3 linked regions of the Mus musculus genome follow. The protein of the gene in region 3 purifies or fractionates together with the protein of the main gene of each other region. This does not show direct contact. Links are inferred from orthologs where the notes say so. Each region holds a gene or a part of one and is shown on either strand. Other genes may lie near its edges.

What was found.
Region 1: the proteins of Dis3l (region 3) and Gigyf2 purify together in Homo sapiens (affinity purification with mass spectrometry; 3 studies listed by BioGRID and IntAct, with this or other methods). This does not show direct contact. The link is inferred for Mus musculus from reciprocal best matches to the Homo sapiens genes DIS3L and GIGYF2.
Region 2: the proteins of Dis3l (region 3) and Eif4e2 purify together in Homo sapiens (affinity purification with mass spectrometry; 3 studies listed by BioGRID and IntAct, with this or other methods). This does not show direct contact. The link is inferred for Mus musculus from reciprocal best matches to the Homo sapiens genes DIS3L and EIF4E2.

The regions. Positions count from the first base shown.
Region 1 is NC_000067.6:87,325,215-87,330,460, forward strand, and holds the start of Gigyf2 (GRB10-interacting GYF protein 2), read left to right. Parts: upstream 1-1,783; 5' UTR 1,784-1,878; exon of another isoform or gene 1,879-1,893; intron 1,894-5,246. UniProt on the Homo sapiens protein: Key component of the 4EHP-GYF2 complex, a multiprotein complex that acts as a repressor of translation initiation. In the 4EHP-GYF2 complex, acts as a factor that bridges EIF4E2 to ZFP36/TTP, linking translation repression with mRNA decay.
Region 2 is NC_000067.6:87,212,025-87,217,182, reverse strand, and holds the start of Eif4e2 (eukaryotic translation initiation factor 4E type 2), read right to left. Parts: upstream 3,270-5,158; 5' UTR 3,184-3,269; coding exon 3,164-3,183; exon of another isoform or gene 2,693-3,163; coding exon of another isoform or gene 2,688-2,692; intron 1-2,687. UniProt on the Homo sapiens protein: Recognizes and binds the 7-methylguanosine-containing mRNA cap during an early step in the initiation. Acts as a repressor of translation initiation.
Region 3 is NC_000075.6:64,337,820-64,342,969, forward strand, and holds the start of Dis3l (DIS3-like exonuclease 1), read right to left. Parts: upstream 3,439-5,150; 5' UTR 3,313-3,438; coding exon 3,174-3,312; intron 3,132-3,173; exon of another isoform or gene 3,062-3,131; intron 2,955-3,061; exon of another isoform or gene 2,729-2,954; intron 2,639-2,728; exon of another isoform or gene 2,470-2,638; intron 1,814-2,469; coding exon 1,660-1,813; intron 1-1,659. UniProt on the Homo sapiens protein: Catalytic component of the RNA exosome complex which has 3'->5' exoribonuclease activity and participates in a multitude of cellular RNA processing and degradation events.

The sequences.
Region 1 (5,246 bases), on a different chromosome or scaffold from region 3:
AAAAATCAACCAACCAACCAAACCAAACCAAATTAAAGACACCTTTTCTTGAGAGCATATCCTTGCTCATCAGGGTCAGCAACACCGGAAGCTGGCAGTAATACAGCTCTTCAATGGGCCCTTCAGACTTTCATGCTGCTGAACTTATCTGGTGTCATCCATATTTTCCTTTTCCTTTGTTCTCTCCCCATGTATTAGCTACCTTTCCTGTTGCTGTAATAAAATACCCCAAAAGAATTTGCTTAAGAGGCAAAGGCCTTATTTTGGTTCACAATTCAAGAGTATGGTCCACCTTGGGAGTAGTCACATTGCTTCCAAGGTCAGGAAGTTGAGACTGATGGAACCTTTGAATGTTTCTGTGTAGCTTTTTCACTTAGGTCTTATACACTATAGAATTCTAGCTTATGGAATGGAATGGTATTTTCCACTTTACCTACTCTCGGGTTTCCCCACATCAAATAACATAATCTAGATAATCTCTCATAAATTTGCTCAGATATTTGTTTCCATGATGAATCCAAATCCCATCATGTTGACAGTCAAGATTAATGATCACAGTCAAGATTAATGATCATTCTCTGAATTTAATGCTCTTTTATACAGTCTCTCTTTGAAAGGGAATCAAGACTCAGGAAGGGAGGCAGAGGAGGAAGTTGGTATATATATATATATATATATATATATATGTATGTATGTATGTGTGTGTGTGTGTGTGTATTTTTTTTCCAAGTGTTGAATCCAGGGCTCCCAAACGACTAGGTTGGGAGTCTGCCACTGTGTTCTGAAACTTAAGTTTATGTTGATGGGAAGACCTATGATAAATGCTGGAGGATATTTTGCAGTGATTGTGTGAAACTGAGTGGATCCCAAACACCAAAGGTAGTAGAAAGGCAGGAAAAGACTAATGGTCCCAGAAAGACCCGGGTGACTTGAAATGGTAGATGTACCAGGTTTAGCAAATCAAAGTATATAGTATGTCCAGCTAAACATGAGTTTCAGAAAGACAGCAGATTAATTTCCTGTATTCTGTATTGCCGGGTTTACTATTCGTTATCTCGCAACCCTAAAATGGGAAGGCAGTATATATAAGGGGGTTGTAGGTCCACATGTAGTGGAAGGGTGTAGTAACTTTTTTTTAGTTTTTCGAGACACGGTTTCTCTGTATAGCCCTGGCTGTCCTGGAACTCTGTAGATCAGGCTGACCTTGAACTCAGAAATCGATCTGCCTCTGCCTCCCAAGTGCTGGGATTAAAGGTGTGAGCCACCACTGCCTGGCTAGGTGTAGGAACTTTTAAAACCTTCCCAGCTGTCACATTCCAGTACTCCAGGATGAATTTCCAGTTCTATAAGAAAGGAAACTGCTTTGAATTTCAGCTTTACCATTTGCCCCATGATGGACCAACTGGCAGGAAAATGCTAGACCAAATGCTGTGGAAAAGTTCTAGCTTGGAAAACCAGCTCATAAATGATGTGGAGATTTTTGTACTGCAACCGGGCACTGGATTGGGTGCATCGGACGGTGAGTCATAGGGCCTCTGGCCAGGCTCCAATTAGGGACACCAGTTCAACTCTAGGGCCATAGGAGATGCAGCCAAAGGCCCCACTGTGCGCCTGCGCTACTCAGGCTCCGTCCTCGCCCGGCCCTGCATCCGGGTCTCAGGGAGGGGCGTGTCCGAGGGGAGGGGCAGGCCGTCGAGGAAGGGAACGATGTCGTGGGAAGCTGGAGAGCAGGGAGGGAGTGAGGCGGGGATGTAGGCGGGGCGGGGGGCGGCGCGGCGCGCGGGGTCACGTGACGTGCGTGGCGACGTGTCGGCCATCTTGTGTTGTTGAGGCTGAGGATTGACTTGGGTTCTGAGAGACTCCTGTCCCGGACCGCAGGTAACCAGTGGCTCGGTGTGTGTCTCCCCTGCCCGCGGCCATCCCGCGCCCAGTCCCCGCCATAGCGCCCCGAGCTGCCGTGGCCCGGCGCCCACCGTCGCGTCCCCGCCGCTCCGGCCCGAGCCGGCCGCATGGACACACTCAGGCTGCCCGGCAGCGGCCACGGCCGCTGCCGGCTGGGGGCGTCAGACCTGGGGACAGGGCAGGTGCGAGGTCAGCAGGAGCCTCCTCCCGTGCGAGGGTCCCGGCAGTCCAGGGAGCGTCCCGGCCGAGGGCAGCCCCCTGCTTTCGCCCCCGTGGCATCGCGGGGGAAGCCGAGGAGAGGAGGCGGGAGGCGGGGTGGGCAGTGTCAGGCCGGAGGGTTCGCCTTCCGCTGCCCGCTCCTCGGGGCTGGTCGCCCGCACAGCCTCGGGGTACCCCGGCTAACAGCTGCTGCGAGCCGACAGCTGCTCCTGCCGGCGCTCCTGCCCGCACCTGCCCCAGGGAGGTGCGCCCTTGCCTTCTCCACCGAGCATCTGGACTGGGGAAGACTGCTTCTAGGGCTGGAGGACTGGTCTTGAGCAGGCCCCAGGCAAGGTGGAGTCATGATCTGATCCTGGGACTGAGAGGCTTGGGAAAGTAGAGCCCCGGGCAGCCCCGGGGACCCGAATGTTCATACCGGCTTGAAATGGGCAAGCAGTTTCCCACGAAGCACTCTTGAACACTTTGGTTTTGTAGCTGAAATATAAATCAAGCCAGCAAGTAAGGAAGGGTGTGAAAGGAGCTGATTGTGTGACCGCGTTTGGGAAGCAGTAACGTTGCTTTGCATTTATCTAGTACGGTCTCCCCTCACCTCCAGTTTTCTCGAAAGTCAAAGCACTTAAACACACCTAGTGGTTCTATTAGGAAGGTAAGTATTCCAACATAACTTAAGAAATGAAGGGACTCAATCAGTGATGGCTTCCCACCTAGTCCCATCTACCTTGAATTATAGGTAATTATGTTTCAGAGTGTTGTATACAGGGATTGTAGTCTTCCTTATGTAGTTACTCCTCTTTAGTAACAAATGACTTCCTAAATTACAAAAACTATTATCCTACTTTTTGTACATGAGTTTTCATCCTTTTTTGTGGCTCTGACTGGCAGAATTTTTCCTTTTGGTTAGAACATATACTTTGTCTTCATTTAATGATATTTCCCTAATGTAGCAGCTTTTAGATTGCCTAGACTGGGATATGTACTTCACTGTCACATAAGAAGACACTAGGAAAACATTTAGAAGTGACATATGTCTGGAAAAATACCAACGTTGAAGATGTTGGTGATTTGCTAGAAAGAAAAAGACCATACCTTTTTTGGTACTTGACAAAGGATTTAGAGTTTTGTGGCTGGGGAAGAAGAGATTATGTACTGTATGCTGCCATTCTTGTCTTTTCCTTTCTTTTCTGTTTGACTACAAGTACTACAGTATGTAGTGTGAATGCTGAGGGACAAACATTTCTGTTTGTGTTGCGCTCACTTCTGGACATCTAAATACTTAAGTAAAAATATACAAATACTTCTTGATGTGATGATTGGGCTGTGTCCCTTAAATTGATTGAAAGTTGAAGTATGTAAGCTGAAATTGCATTTAAAGCTATCAGTCTGCTGCCCATTAATAACAGCAAAGCCTCCTATAGAATCTTGATCATCTCCCGCTTGTATGGTTAGATTTTATGTGATTTTGTGACTCTCTGGTCCTAGCCAGCAATGCCAGGGAGTATTGTACTACATACATATTGTTAACTCAGGAAGAAATCATAATTAGAAATATGAAGAATGATTTCTACTGAGTCCATATTGTTTTTACCTCATAGTAGAGTGCAAACTCTTGTTAAGTTGAACATTTCTGTGTAGGGACCATCTGTTTATGTAGGAGTAACGGGAAAAAGAAAAAGAAGAGAGATAGGGGGACTGGATAACAATTGTGGGAAGGGTTAATTTTTAAATTTAGTCCTGTGAGGAGACTTTACAGGTAAGCTAAAATTTGAGGAAACACCTGATAGGTAGAGGGCAGGGTCCTTCACCAAGAGGAAAAGAGGGCAAAGATCCTGAGATGAGAAGATAAAACTTAGGTGGGACCTATCTAAGGCTTGCTAGGAAGAGGACTGAGGCTAACTAGTCTGGGGAGACTGAAAGAAACTGATCAGATGTATTTACCCACCTCTTTGGCAGGAAGATGAGGTGGACCATTCACTGCTCTGGAGTCTTTTTTTTTTTTTGGGTGGGATGGGGTGGGGTGTTTCCAAGACAGGGTTTCTCTGTGTAGTCCTGGCTGTCCTGGAACTCACTCTGTAGACCAGGCTGGCCTTGAACTCAGAAATCTGCCTGCCTCTGCCTCCCAAGTGCTGGGATCAAAGGCGTGCACTACCATGCCCAGCTGGAGTGTGTGTGCGAGCAATCCAGGCTGACCTGAAATTGCCCTTCTCTTACCTCAGTCTCCCCAGTTTCTGAGATCTATGGAAAAGTCTTAAGAAAATCAGGTTTTATAGACTTGAGCCAAGATCCCTCCTTTCCCGTTCATTTGGAAAACTCGGGATGTTCATCTATTTCAGGAATTATAATGGATTTCTTAAAAGTAAGTTTTTAGATGTGATTGGTGTTAGACTGCCTGGAAATGCTTTTTAAAAGGAATGGCTTTTTGTTTTGTTGGTTTTGTTTTTTTGTTTTTGATTTTTCCAGACAGGGCTTCTTGATGTAGCCTTGGCTGTCCTGGAACTTGTTCTAGACCAGGCTAGCCTCTTCCTCCTGAGCACTGTGATTAAAGATGTTTACCAACACTGCCTGGCAAGAAATGGCTTTTAAAGAAGGATATCCCAGCTTCATGATTGACTAGGACATTTTGCAAACTCAGGGACTACCTGGTAACGTGGTAACTAAGATTCAGAAGAGCTAGGAATATAGCTTAGGCTTAGATCACTTGCCTAGCATGCCTGATGACCAGGTTGAATCCCCAGTACTGCCTAAACAAAAAAAAGAATAGAAATTTCAGAATATTTGGAAGTGAGGAACTGTTCTCAGGCACTGGTGATTAAGGAGTATAATCAAATGAATCAGTATATTAACCCAGGTTATCCACAGTTGGTTAGTGAAGAGTTTCTTTTACTTCTATACAGTCCAGCCTAGTTCTAATGGGCTCTCCTAATTTCTGTGGAGATCCCTTTTATCATTTTGCTTGTGTAGAATGTTTTCTATTTTTCTTTTTTTACCTTATAAGCTAGATTTCAAATTAATTTGTTGCTTAGTAGGCTGGGGACTTTTTTCTGAGGGCCTTCCAGCGTATTTTCATATTCATAAATGGACAATTTAATAACTTTTTATTTTAACTTACCTGATAAATTTTAGTATTT
Region 2 (5,158 bases), on a different chromosome or scaffold from region 3:
TCCAATTCATGTTCAGACTAAGTGACACTTGGGTTAGCTTTCCAAGTTCCTGTCCAGGTAATTCCCAACACCGTCCGAACTAGGCAAATTCTGTGCAGGGAGGAACTTTAATTTTCCACTCTTATCTCTAGCAACACACACGAACATAAAACAAACATGTTTAAGGGATGGATCTCCAAACATCAAATTAGGTAGTTTAGAAACACTTAAAAATAGGCCAAAAGCTAATGACAGAAAGAGAACCATATAAAATAGGAACCAAATCAAGGCTGGCCTTCCAAAACCCAGGACCTGAAAACCAAGTTTATCACAGTTGGGGCTGTACTTCTTGAGAGGGCATCTTAGAGTTTCACATGTTAATAACATGAAAGGCAATGAGACCTTACCACTTGTTGAGTCTAATGACCACCCTTTAAAGCTATTAGCAGCTTTGGTCACACTTAGAGGCAGAGCCCACATATTAAAGGAGGTTAGAGGGCCTCTTTAATCTGTGTCCATCAGATCATACTACTGCACTCACTGGAGACTACGCTTTGAGAATGATTCTGGAAAATTCTGGGGAGATGTTATAAAGAGTACAGACTCCAAATAAGGAGCAACATTCTACAAACTGCAGGGTTTTCACAAGAAAATCTGAAATGACAAAACCAAAACCAGGGACAAGGGTACCATTTTAATTGCTAATTTCAAATAAAAGCAAGCTTTTATTTTTGTCCTTTATTGCAAAGTTAGAAGACAGGTGGGGTTGAAGAGATAACTCAACAGTTAAAAGTACTAACCGCTCTTCCAAGTCCTAAGTTCAATGTGAGCAATCACATGGTAGCTCACAACCATGTGTAATGAGATCTAATGGCCTCTTCTGGTATGTCTGAGGACAGTGACAGTGTCTCATATACAAAATAAATAATTGAAAAAAAGAAGAAGAAGGAGGAAGAGGGCATTAAAAGACCCTACTCTTTACAACAGCTCATAGTTATAAACAATTAAACCACCCAGCAAATGTTGATAAAGACACTTGAACAAAGTAGAAGAGTGAGCCTGAGCTGGCCCTTTAGGCTATCTTGCACTAGTTACTTAACCTTGAAAAGCCTCATTTTCCTTAACTATCAGAAAACATGCCAAGATCTCTTTTGCAGAGTTATTAGGAAGAAGCTAGTGGGAAATAGAGAGGAATATAATACATGCAATAGGGACTTGGGGGACAGCTAGAAGAAAAAAAGCGAGCTAGAGAGGGACCACAGCGAGTCCAGTGGGGGCAGGGAAGAAGGAGAACAAAGTAATGGCCTGAGTATGAAGGTGTCCTAATAGAACCTGCTACTTTCTATGCTAACCTAAAAAGTTAGGAAACAAATCCACAGGGATGCCTCTGGGTGGCTGCAGTGGCTAGACTAAGAATGACCACCATAGGCTCATATATTTGAATGCTTAGTCACCAGGGAGCAGAACTGCTAGGAAGGATTAGGAGGTGTGTGGCCTTGTTAGTTAAATAAATAAGTAAAAAAGAAAAAGAAAAAACTTGTCATAAGAGTTGCCCGGCCGGGCAGTGGTGACACACACCTTTAATCCCAGCACTCGGGAGGCAGAGGCAGGCGGATTTCTCTGAGTTCAAGGCCAGCCTGGTCTACAGAGTGAGTTCCAGGACAGCCAGGGCTACACAGAGAAACCCTGTCTCAGACCCCACCCCCACCCCCCAAAAACAACAACAACAAAAAAACAGTTGCCTGGTCATGGCATCTCTTCAACAGCAACAGAACAGTGACGACGACAGTGGCCAACATAACCATCCTTATTCAAGACAGGCAACCTAAAAACTATCTTCTTAGGATGCAGTTTGATTTGTTCCAATAGGAGAAGAAGGGAGGAAGGGCTGCAGGTATGAAGCTAGGTATTGCAGGGCCTATGACAGGAGACCAATGGATCTCTATCCTGCTGGACTCTGCTAATAAGCAAGGTGGAGAAGACATCAGGTCTTTTCTCAAGAAGCAGAGCTCACTCAGCCACCATGAAAACCTAAGGAAGAGCTGGCTGTACAACTGGAATCCCCATCCCAGTACTTCCTGAGTCTGCACCTCTGAACTCACTGTATTGAAAACCTGCAGCTTCACCACCTATCAGTGAGTCCACTTTCCCTTCACAGCTCATGCTCAGCATTTTACACAGTACCTCTAAGTATTGCAGAGCGTGATGTGGTCCTTCCGGTCCTAACCACTACAGAGGTGAGATCGATGGCTCAGACTGGAGGACTTTTGTACTGTCAAACAGCTGGTGGGCTTAAAACTAAAAATGTAGGCCTTTGAATGATAAACCAGATTTGATCACTACAAACCATAGAGAGGAGGGAGCACTGCAATCTACCCAGGGATACAATTCTTGTGAAACACTAACTTAAGTGGGGCTAGATGAAAACGAAAATTACTTTTAAATGCTAAAAGATTTAATCGTTAGGAGGGGAATGTTCTCACCCCCCCATCCCCCACCCCAACACATATTTCTTCTCTGTACTTCCCAACTGTTCGCTGCGGGAATTGGAGATGAATGCAGGGGTGGGCAGCCACTAAGAGTTGAAAGACAGGGACGGGGTGGGGGATGAAGGGAGGGTGGTGGTCGGGGAGGAAGCAGGAAGAATCTCAGATGAAAAGCATTCCGTACTCGAGAGGCCACAGTACTCAGCGCGGCTGCCCCATTACCTCATCGCAGCTGCCCAACTCTACGACACGGGCTCTGTTACCGTCCCCGCTTGCAGAAGACAAAATCGAGGCTCGGAAGGGAGAGGTGACCTTCCCAGGACGCCGAGCGAGTGCGGGAGGGAAGCCGCGTTCAGAGAGAAGGCAGCAAGGCTGCGGAAACACCCGAAGCGCTGAGGTCCCGCCCCTCCACGCCGCCGGCAGCCCGCACCCACCAGGGCGGGGCGTCCGAAAATCTCCTTCCGGGCGGCGCGGCCTCCCCTCCCCCGGCCCGTGCCGCGCCGGGGTCCAGCGGCTCAGGGGTCCCGGCGACCTCGGCCGCGCTCTCCCGGCCCCGTCGGGCCCGCGGGCGCAGGAAGGCTCGGGCTGCGGCGGCCCGGGAGCGAGCGGCTCGGCTGAGGGCGCGCCCGGCCCCGGCGGGAGCGGTCCCGGGGGACGGTTGGGGGAAGGGGCCCCGGGGTCGGCCACGCGCCACTCACGCGTCGAACTTGTTGTTCATCCTCTTGCCGCCGCTGTCGCCACTGCCTCACGGAGTGACTTCCGCTCTACCGGGTCCCATCGCTAAGGGCCCGGCTACTTCCGGTTGGCTGGCGAGGCGCTCAGCGGAACGTCAGTGCTCAGGCCTTGGGCGGGGCCTCTTTCCCGGACGGGTGGCCCGGGACGACAGCGCTTGTTCCGACCGGGGCTGTCTTGGTGTGGCTGCTTGCACTGAGCATTGTCTACGCAGGCTGCCGGCCATCCACTTTAACCTCCCCGTGGATTCCAGGGGGAAAATGTCAGGCATAGTAACCTTTAGTAAATGGTATTCTCTGGCAGTTGATCCTTTGCTCTTGGTGTTTGGAGAGGACGAGAGAGCACTACAAACAAACTTGCAATTCTGGCTCTTGGGAAATGGCAGCAGGAAGATCCAGACCTGCCTAACCAACATAGTGAGTTCGAGGACAGCCTGGGATACATTAAGACCTTCCCTATATATTGGGTGAAGTGGGGGGTGGGGGGAGTCGAACCAGGGTGACAAACTTACTGAGGACCGAGATGGTCTCACTCATCATTGCCTCCTCAACTGAAGTCATTGTCCCCACACTCCTAAGGACTGTCCAAAACCACATCACATACACAGGAATAAATTCCCTAGTTGGTGATGTAACTCCAGAGCTATGAGGCACGCATTTTCCTGACCCATCTGCTGAACATATTACATTGTTAGATGTTTATTTTTAATCACCAGAGAGGAGGGGTAGAAATTGATGTTCGTGCCTGTATTTACAGGTGAGGAAAGTGTCCCAGGACTGGCCCGTGGTTGTCCCCTGGTCACTCAGCAAGGTCACGCTTTTTCTCCTCAGGAAGACCTCAGGGGATCATCCTATTGCCTGGCATGTAAGGGAGGCTGAGGAAGCTCTCCTGTCACACCCAGCCCAGTGGCTTTGGGCCTAGCCTTGCAAGTACTCTGGCTTTTGAGAAGAGAGAGGACGAAAGGAATTTGCAGGGCTAGGAGTCTTTCTTACAGTGTCTGAGATTGGATCAGAGATGGAAATTTGAACCCTATAAAGGAGTGTTCTAGAGAGTTCCTCTTACTCTGGACCCCAGCTTGCTCATGTGAAATGTGGGTCAGGTGAACAGGGCCTTTTTTTTTTTTTTCCGAGACACGGTTTCTCTGTGTAGCCCTGGCTGTCCTGGAACTCACTCTGTAGACCAGGCTGGCCTCGAACTCAGAAATTCACCTGCCTCTGCCTCCCAAGTGCTGGGATTAAAGGCGTGTGCCACCACTGCCTGGCTTTGTTTGTTTTTTATTTTATTTTATTTTATTTTATTTTGAACAGTGCCTCTTGACTATCCATACTGTGAAGAATTTCTAACAATGGGGGGGGGGGAGATAGTAAAACTCAAGAAATCCTTTGTGATCAGTGGGGGTGGGAGGAAGTATTACATTAGACGAATGGGACGTACTGCTGAAGGTACACATTTGTGCTGTGGCATCTAGAAGAACCTTGCTAGTTAAAATGGGTTACACTTTTAAAAATTCTAGACCTCATAAAAGCCAAGACTCTGTACTTAGATCCCACACCCCTATCTCCATAAAAAAAAGGCTTTTTTTTTTCTATCTTGTGTATATGGGTGTTCTGTCTGTGCATATGTCTGCACTATATGCATGGGCGTTTTGCAAAGCCAGAGGAGGGTGTTGGATCGCCTGCAACTGGAGTAACAGATGCTACATGGGTGCTGGAAACCAACCCAGATCCCCGGGAAAGTAGCCAGTGTTCCTAACCACTGAACTATCTCCACCCTCACCCCCATCCTTTTTTGAGACAGGATCTCACCATGTACACTGACCTCAAACAGATGGATTTGTCTCTGCCTCCCTAGTGCTAGGACTAAAGGCCCCACCACGTCCAGTTCATGTTCTCTGCAGTTAAGAGAGTTCCCCACATCCCTTACGAACCTTCTAGAGAAAGTTCACATAGGGAAGATGTTGG
Region 3 (5,150 bases):
TAATACTGTGTTGTTCATTAAATTTAAGGGTTTAATTTGGTTTTAAAGCTTATTAAGTACTTAAACATAAAGAGTATAAATAGATTTATAGCTAAATACCAATACAATTATGCATGTTTGTTTGTGAAGACAGAGTCTCATGTAGTCTGTACTGGCTTCAAGCTTTCTGTATAGCTGAGACTTACATAGAACTCCTGAACCTTCTACTTTACAGTTGTTGGGATCACAGGTACCTGCCACCAGGCCTGGCTCCTGGGTATCAGGAGAACATTTTCTGCTAGAAACAGGGCTGATATCGTTGCATTTGAGTAAGCCTGTATCCTGGCACTTGGTTTACCTTAAAGCCACCAACAGTACAGTGCAAGCTGACAAAGTGCTCCTCTAATGAAAAATCAGAAAGGTGGGGCCTACTTGCCAATTCTTCACCTTTTGCTTTCCCTGTAGACACAGAAAAGCACAGCGAAACCCAAGAGCAGGAGCTCTTCATCAACTTAACTACTGAAACCTTCAGGAGAAAGGACATTTAAATTCCAACTCTTTGCTTTCGGTTGTCCCAGGAATTGGTTTTCAAAACAATCCTAATATTAAAAACATTTTAGAAAACAGAGGTTGAAGAGGCTTGCTGTGTGTGAGCGAGCTGAATGGTAACAACAAATTGATTTTAGTAAAAGAAATTGAAATACGACACCTGCAGCAGTGTTTAAACCTGGCTGTGTGTAAACATCTATATGTCTGTGTCTGAATAAAATCAACTTCAAGCTCATTTTAAAATATTCAATTTGAAAAAAAAACCCACGTACATTCTAGCTAATGTATATTTCTCTGAACTAAGCATCAGGACAATTTATCATTTTCATACACAAATAAAGAAAACTTTACCTTTTACTACCAAAAGCTGAAGAAACCAAAACATCTTAAAAACAGAATAAATCCAGTTTCTGCTTGTTAAATACCTTGGGGTGTTGAGGGTTTGGGTATATAATTCTAACATGCTATTCTCATAAAAGTTTCCAAATATTAAATGAAGCAAAACTGTATTCTAAGAAATTTGCACAGAAAGGGGCAATTATTCTTTCATTTAGGTGCAAGGTGAGTATTTTAAACTGGTCCAATTAGAAATGTTTTATTCAGCAAATACAATTACTATGGCTGATAGTTACAGGACTAATCTAAAAATCAGAAAGAGCTATTTTTAATTTCGTTGAATAAATCACGGTAAGTACAGTTTGCTTCTACAATAGAGGAAGATAAGATTTAAAAGTATTCTTTTCCAAAGAAAGGAATGCTCCTGAAACAATGTACCTATGAATAAGATTAAATACTATATATTATTAGCAAAAATAAAAGGAAGAAATAATAGTGCTACCTATGAAAATGTAAACCAGAAGCCAGTTCACCATAGAATCTTAACTATGTACATCCCGGGGACCCAGCAGTTTATTGATCTACAGTCAGATCTTTTGGCCAGGTGTTGAAGCACACATATAAAATGTTACTACATTCCTCACCAGCAAAGAGAATACCAAATTAGTTTCAAAAATCCTTTCTGACAAAATAATGAATTCCTCCTCTTTCCCTCTAACAAGGGACCTTTTCTAAAGGGGGCAGGGGAACCGGTACTGAAAATAAATAAATAAATAAATAATGCAAAACAGATACCTCCGGCCTCTCTGGTGCTGCACAGCTTGACAGGCCGTTTGCATGAAAATAACTCCCTTCAACTCCGGGAACTCCAGAACCTCGAGGTAATCCTGGACAACTTTCCAGTCTGGGATCACGTAATGAGTGACTTCGGCAGCCAGGAGCTTCCCATCTGAAACATAATTCAGAGTGGAAGCCATTAGGTAACATTTTCAAACCTGGTTTATGACTATTTCAATGTCACAGTGCTCCCGGTGTGCAAAATAACTTCTCATCTTAATTTCACCTTGAAGTTTTTAAAAGACAAGACAAATCTACTTTGGTGGAGGCTCAAAGTTCAGCTCCATTGCTCCCCCTCCCCTCAGCTGTGATTAAATACAAGCCCAACATGGTTTATGTTGTAGCCAGCACTTCTTCGAAAGAATGATATTTTAAAAACAAGTACGTCCCTGGAAGAAACTAAATTTCTACTAAGCCATCACAGACATGCATGAGCACTGACTGCGTTGGCTACTTACATATCCATTATATCTCTATCTACATATACACACGTGTATATATATGTAAGGGCAAGAGTGCACATGTGTGTGTGTGTTGACCCCTTGTAAGCATCTAACAATTCCAAGGCTATTCGGTCTGAAGCTTCCTAACACGGCTACACGGTTCTAGGGTTGAGGAGAACGTCCTAAAAAGGATGCGCTGTTCAATCAATGGGCTTCCACTCAACTGACACCTTGGTCAAGCTGTGACCTCAATCATGTATTCTGAAAAGACCCCCTCACGCTCATCTCCCACTAGGGGTAACAAACAGCTGGAGGGTCTGCGTACTGGCAGGAGCAGAGCAGGCAATGTCAAATGTCCAGCCAGCGTAATACGCTCAGGAGTAAGGTGCCAATAGCATTTTCGGGCAGAAAGGAGGAGGTGCCTACGCCCTTAGGTCCCCCTGGAAAAACCGAAGCATCCGGTGCCTGCAGGCTCTTCCACTTAGCCCGGCTATTGTAGCAGGCAGGTCCGGAGAGGAGCGCCCCTGAGGCTGCAGAGGCCGGTCCTGCCTGTGCCGGCCACTGGGAGGGAAGACTGGACGCACCGGGGACGCTCCAGGGCCGCTCCCGGCTGCCCCAGTACCGCCGAGCCCAGACGGTTATGCTCGCTCCGGCTGCCTACAGTCCGCGAGGGTCTGGCTCCGCCCTTGATGCCAGCGCTAAGCCGCCCTCGCTGCTCAGCTTCCCGCTCTCCTCTCTCCTTGGGTCCCGCTTCCTTCACTAGGGCCCCGCCGCCATCGCGACGCCAGGCCGGGATTCCCTTTGCTCTTTGGGCCTCTGCCACCCTCGCTCCTCAGGCCTCAGGTCCCTTCGCTCGCGCCCGGCAGCCTTCGCTACGTCAGGCCCCGGCCTCCCTCGTTCCTTTGGTCCTGGCTTCCCTCGTTCTCCGAGTCCCGGCTTCTCTCGCTCTCCGAGCCCCGGCTTCCCTCTCCGGCTCCGGCCTCCCTCGCTCTTCCCGCCCGGGCCTTCCCGGTCCACCCCGGCTCTGACCGTTGCGGCAGGCGGCAGGCTGCGGGCACAGCGGGCTGTTGCAAGGCACGCTGGGCCGCAGGTAGTGTTCACGCACGATCCGCAGCGTCCGACCCTGGAAGGTCCTCAGCAGCAGCACCTTCTCCCGCTTCTGCAGCATGCTGGCGGCGTCGCCCGGCACTGTGGCCGGGAAGCGGCGGGCGGCGGGCGGCAGGCGGCAGGCTCAGGCGAGACCGAGGCCTGAGGCCCGCCCCTCGGGCCTGGTCGGGCAGGCAGCAGCGTTCACGTTCCCGCTACCGCTACCGGGAGCGACCTAGCCAGGGCTGAGAATCCTCCGGGCCCAGTCCTACTCGCGCCTTTTATTCCTCTCTGTGCCTTAGTTGTCCCCGGGCGGGAAAAGTGTAGATAAACTTCACCCGAAGAATCCTCGGGTGTGAAGGTAGGATGTGGCAGGTAGTCTAAGAGTCGAGTGTAAAAGGATTATTATTTTTATTTTTATTATTATTTTTTTTACTTTGTTTCTACCCACAGGCCCGTGTGCGAAGGGCTGCCATAGCAACAGAGGTAATGCCGGGCAGTGATGGCTCATGCCTTTAATCCCAGCACTTGGGAGGCAGAGGCAGGTGGATTTCTGAGTTCAAGGCCAGCCCGGTCTACAGAGTGAGTTCTAGGACAGCCAGGGCTACACAGAGAAACCCTGTCTCGAAAAACCAAAACAAAAAACAAACAAAAAACAAAACAAAAACCAGAGGTAATAACTGTAGAGTTTTCTCGTCCTTGTTTTTGCAGTATCTGAAAGAATTGAAAAGCTCAGCAAAAAAGCTGGTAACCCTGCTGGCCAAACCGGTTTTCCTCTTCAAAAATATGCTTATTTTAAATTTTAATACACGTAAACATTCAAACACTACAGATAAAATGAAAACCAGTCCTTCTGGGGTAAACACTCTACAACTTTTATAGCGCTGGCAGCCTCGGGCAAAGGACTTCTTAGAGCCGCTATTGACATGATCTCTAAGTACTGTGCTTGTAGTGTTTGACAAAAAGGACGGTATCTTGGGAGACCACACACCCTGGATTCTCCAAGCACTGAGCCCACTGGAGCAAGAGTATCATTTAGCTTCCTTAAATCAAAGGAGTGGGTGTTTATTTGTATCATTTTATAGGCTGTGAGGCTGCATTAAGGGAGCTTAAGTGCCCAAGGATACCTAGTTATTATGTTTCAGAACCAATCTTGAAGCTAGAAACTGCTCAACTTCAAAGCAGGTTAAGCATCATCTAGTCACTGGTGAATAAAAGAGAGAGCGCCTGCACCAAAGGAATTTACTGCTTGGCAACCTTTGGTTAATGTGGCTGGCCCAGTTGGCTGGAAACACCTGGTTCTTCCAACGCAGCTGAAATAAACCAGGACCAGTCTCTCATTTCACCCTAAGGGAATGCTAAAGGGTCATGGTCTCCTCCTCCTCCTCATATCTCTGTGTCAAATCACTTGGTGAAACTCAAGGTAGACTTGCACAAACAGGAAAATAATGTAGAGCTGGCAAACAGGCACCAGACAGTGCAAGGAGAGTCCCTAAAGCTCTCCACAGTGAAAGAGGCTCTCCCTGTCTAATACAGGAGTCAGTTCCAGAGAGACCAGAGGACAGTGAGTAGCCAAAATTGTTCTCTACATAAAAAATGCCTTAGATAACTGTCCACCAATCCCTCCCCAGCTCCCTTCCTATCTTTTTTAAGCCACTGATGCTATGGATTGGAAGAACGACTTTGATTAGGTACTAATCTGCCCTTAATATCTCTCCTCAGCACTTTGTAGCTAGAAATTGTCTGCAAATGAACCACCCTTTAAGGAATAGAGCATAGCTAGAGTTTTATTGAGAGTTGATTTTTATCAGTATTTAAAATAAGGCTGTAGCTTAGTTGGTACTTAGCCTCTCTTCCCCTCACACCCTCTCCTTTCTCTCTCTGCCTTTTTGAGACAGGATCAGGACATGTAGCTGAAGC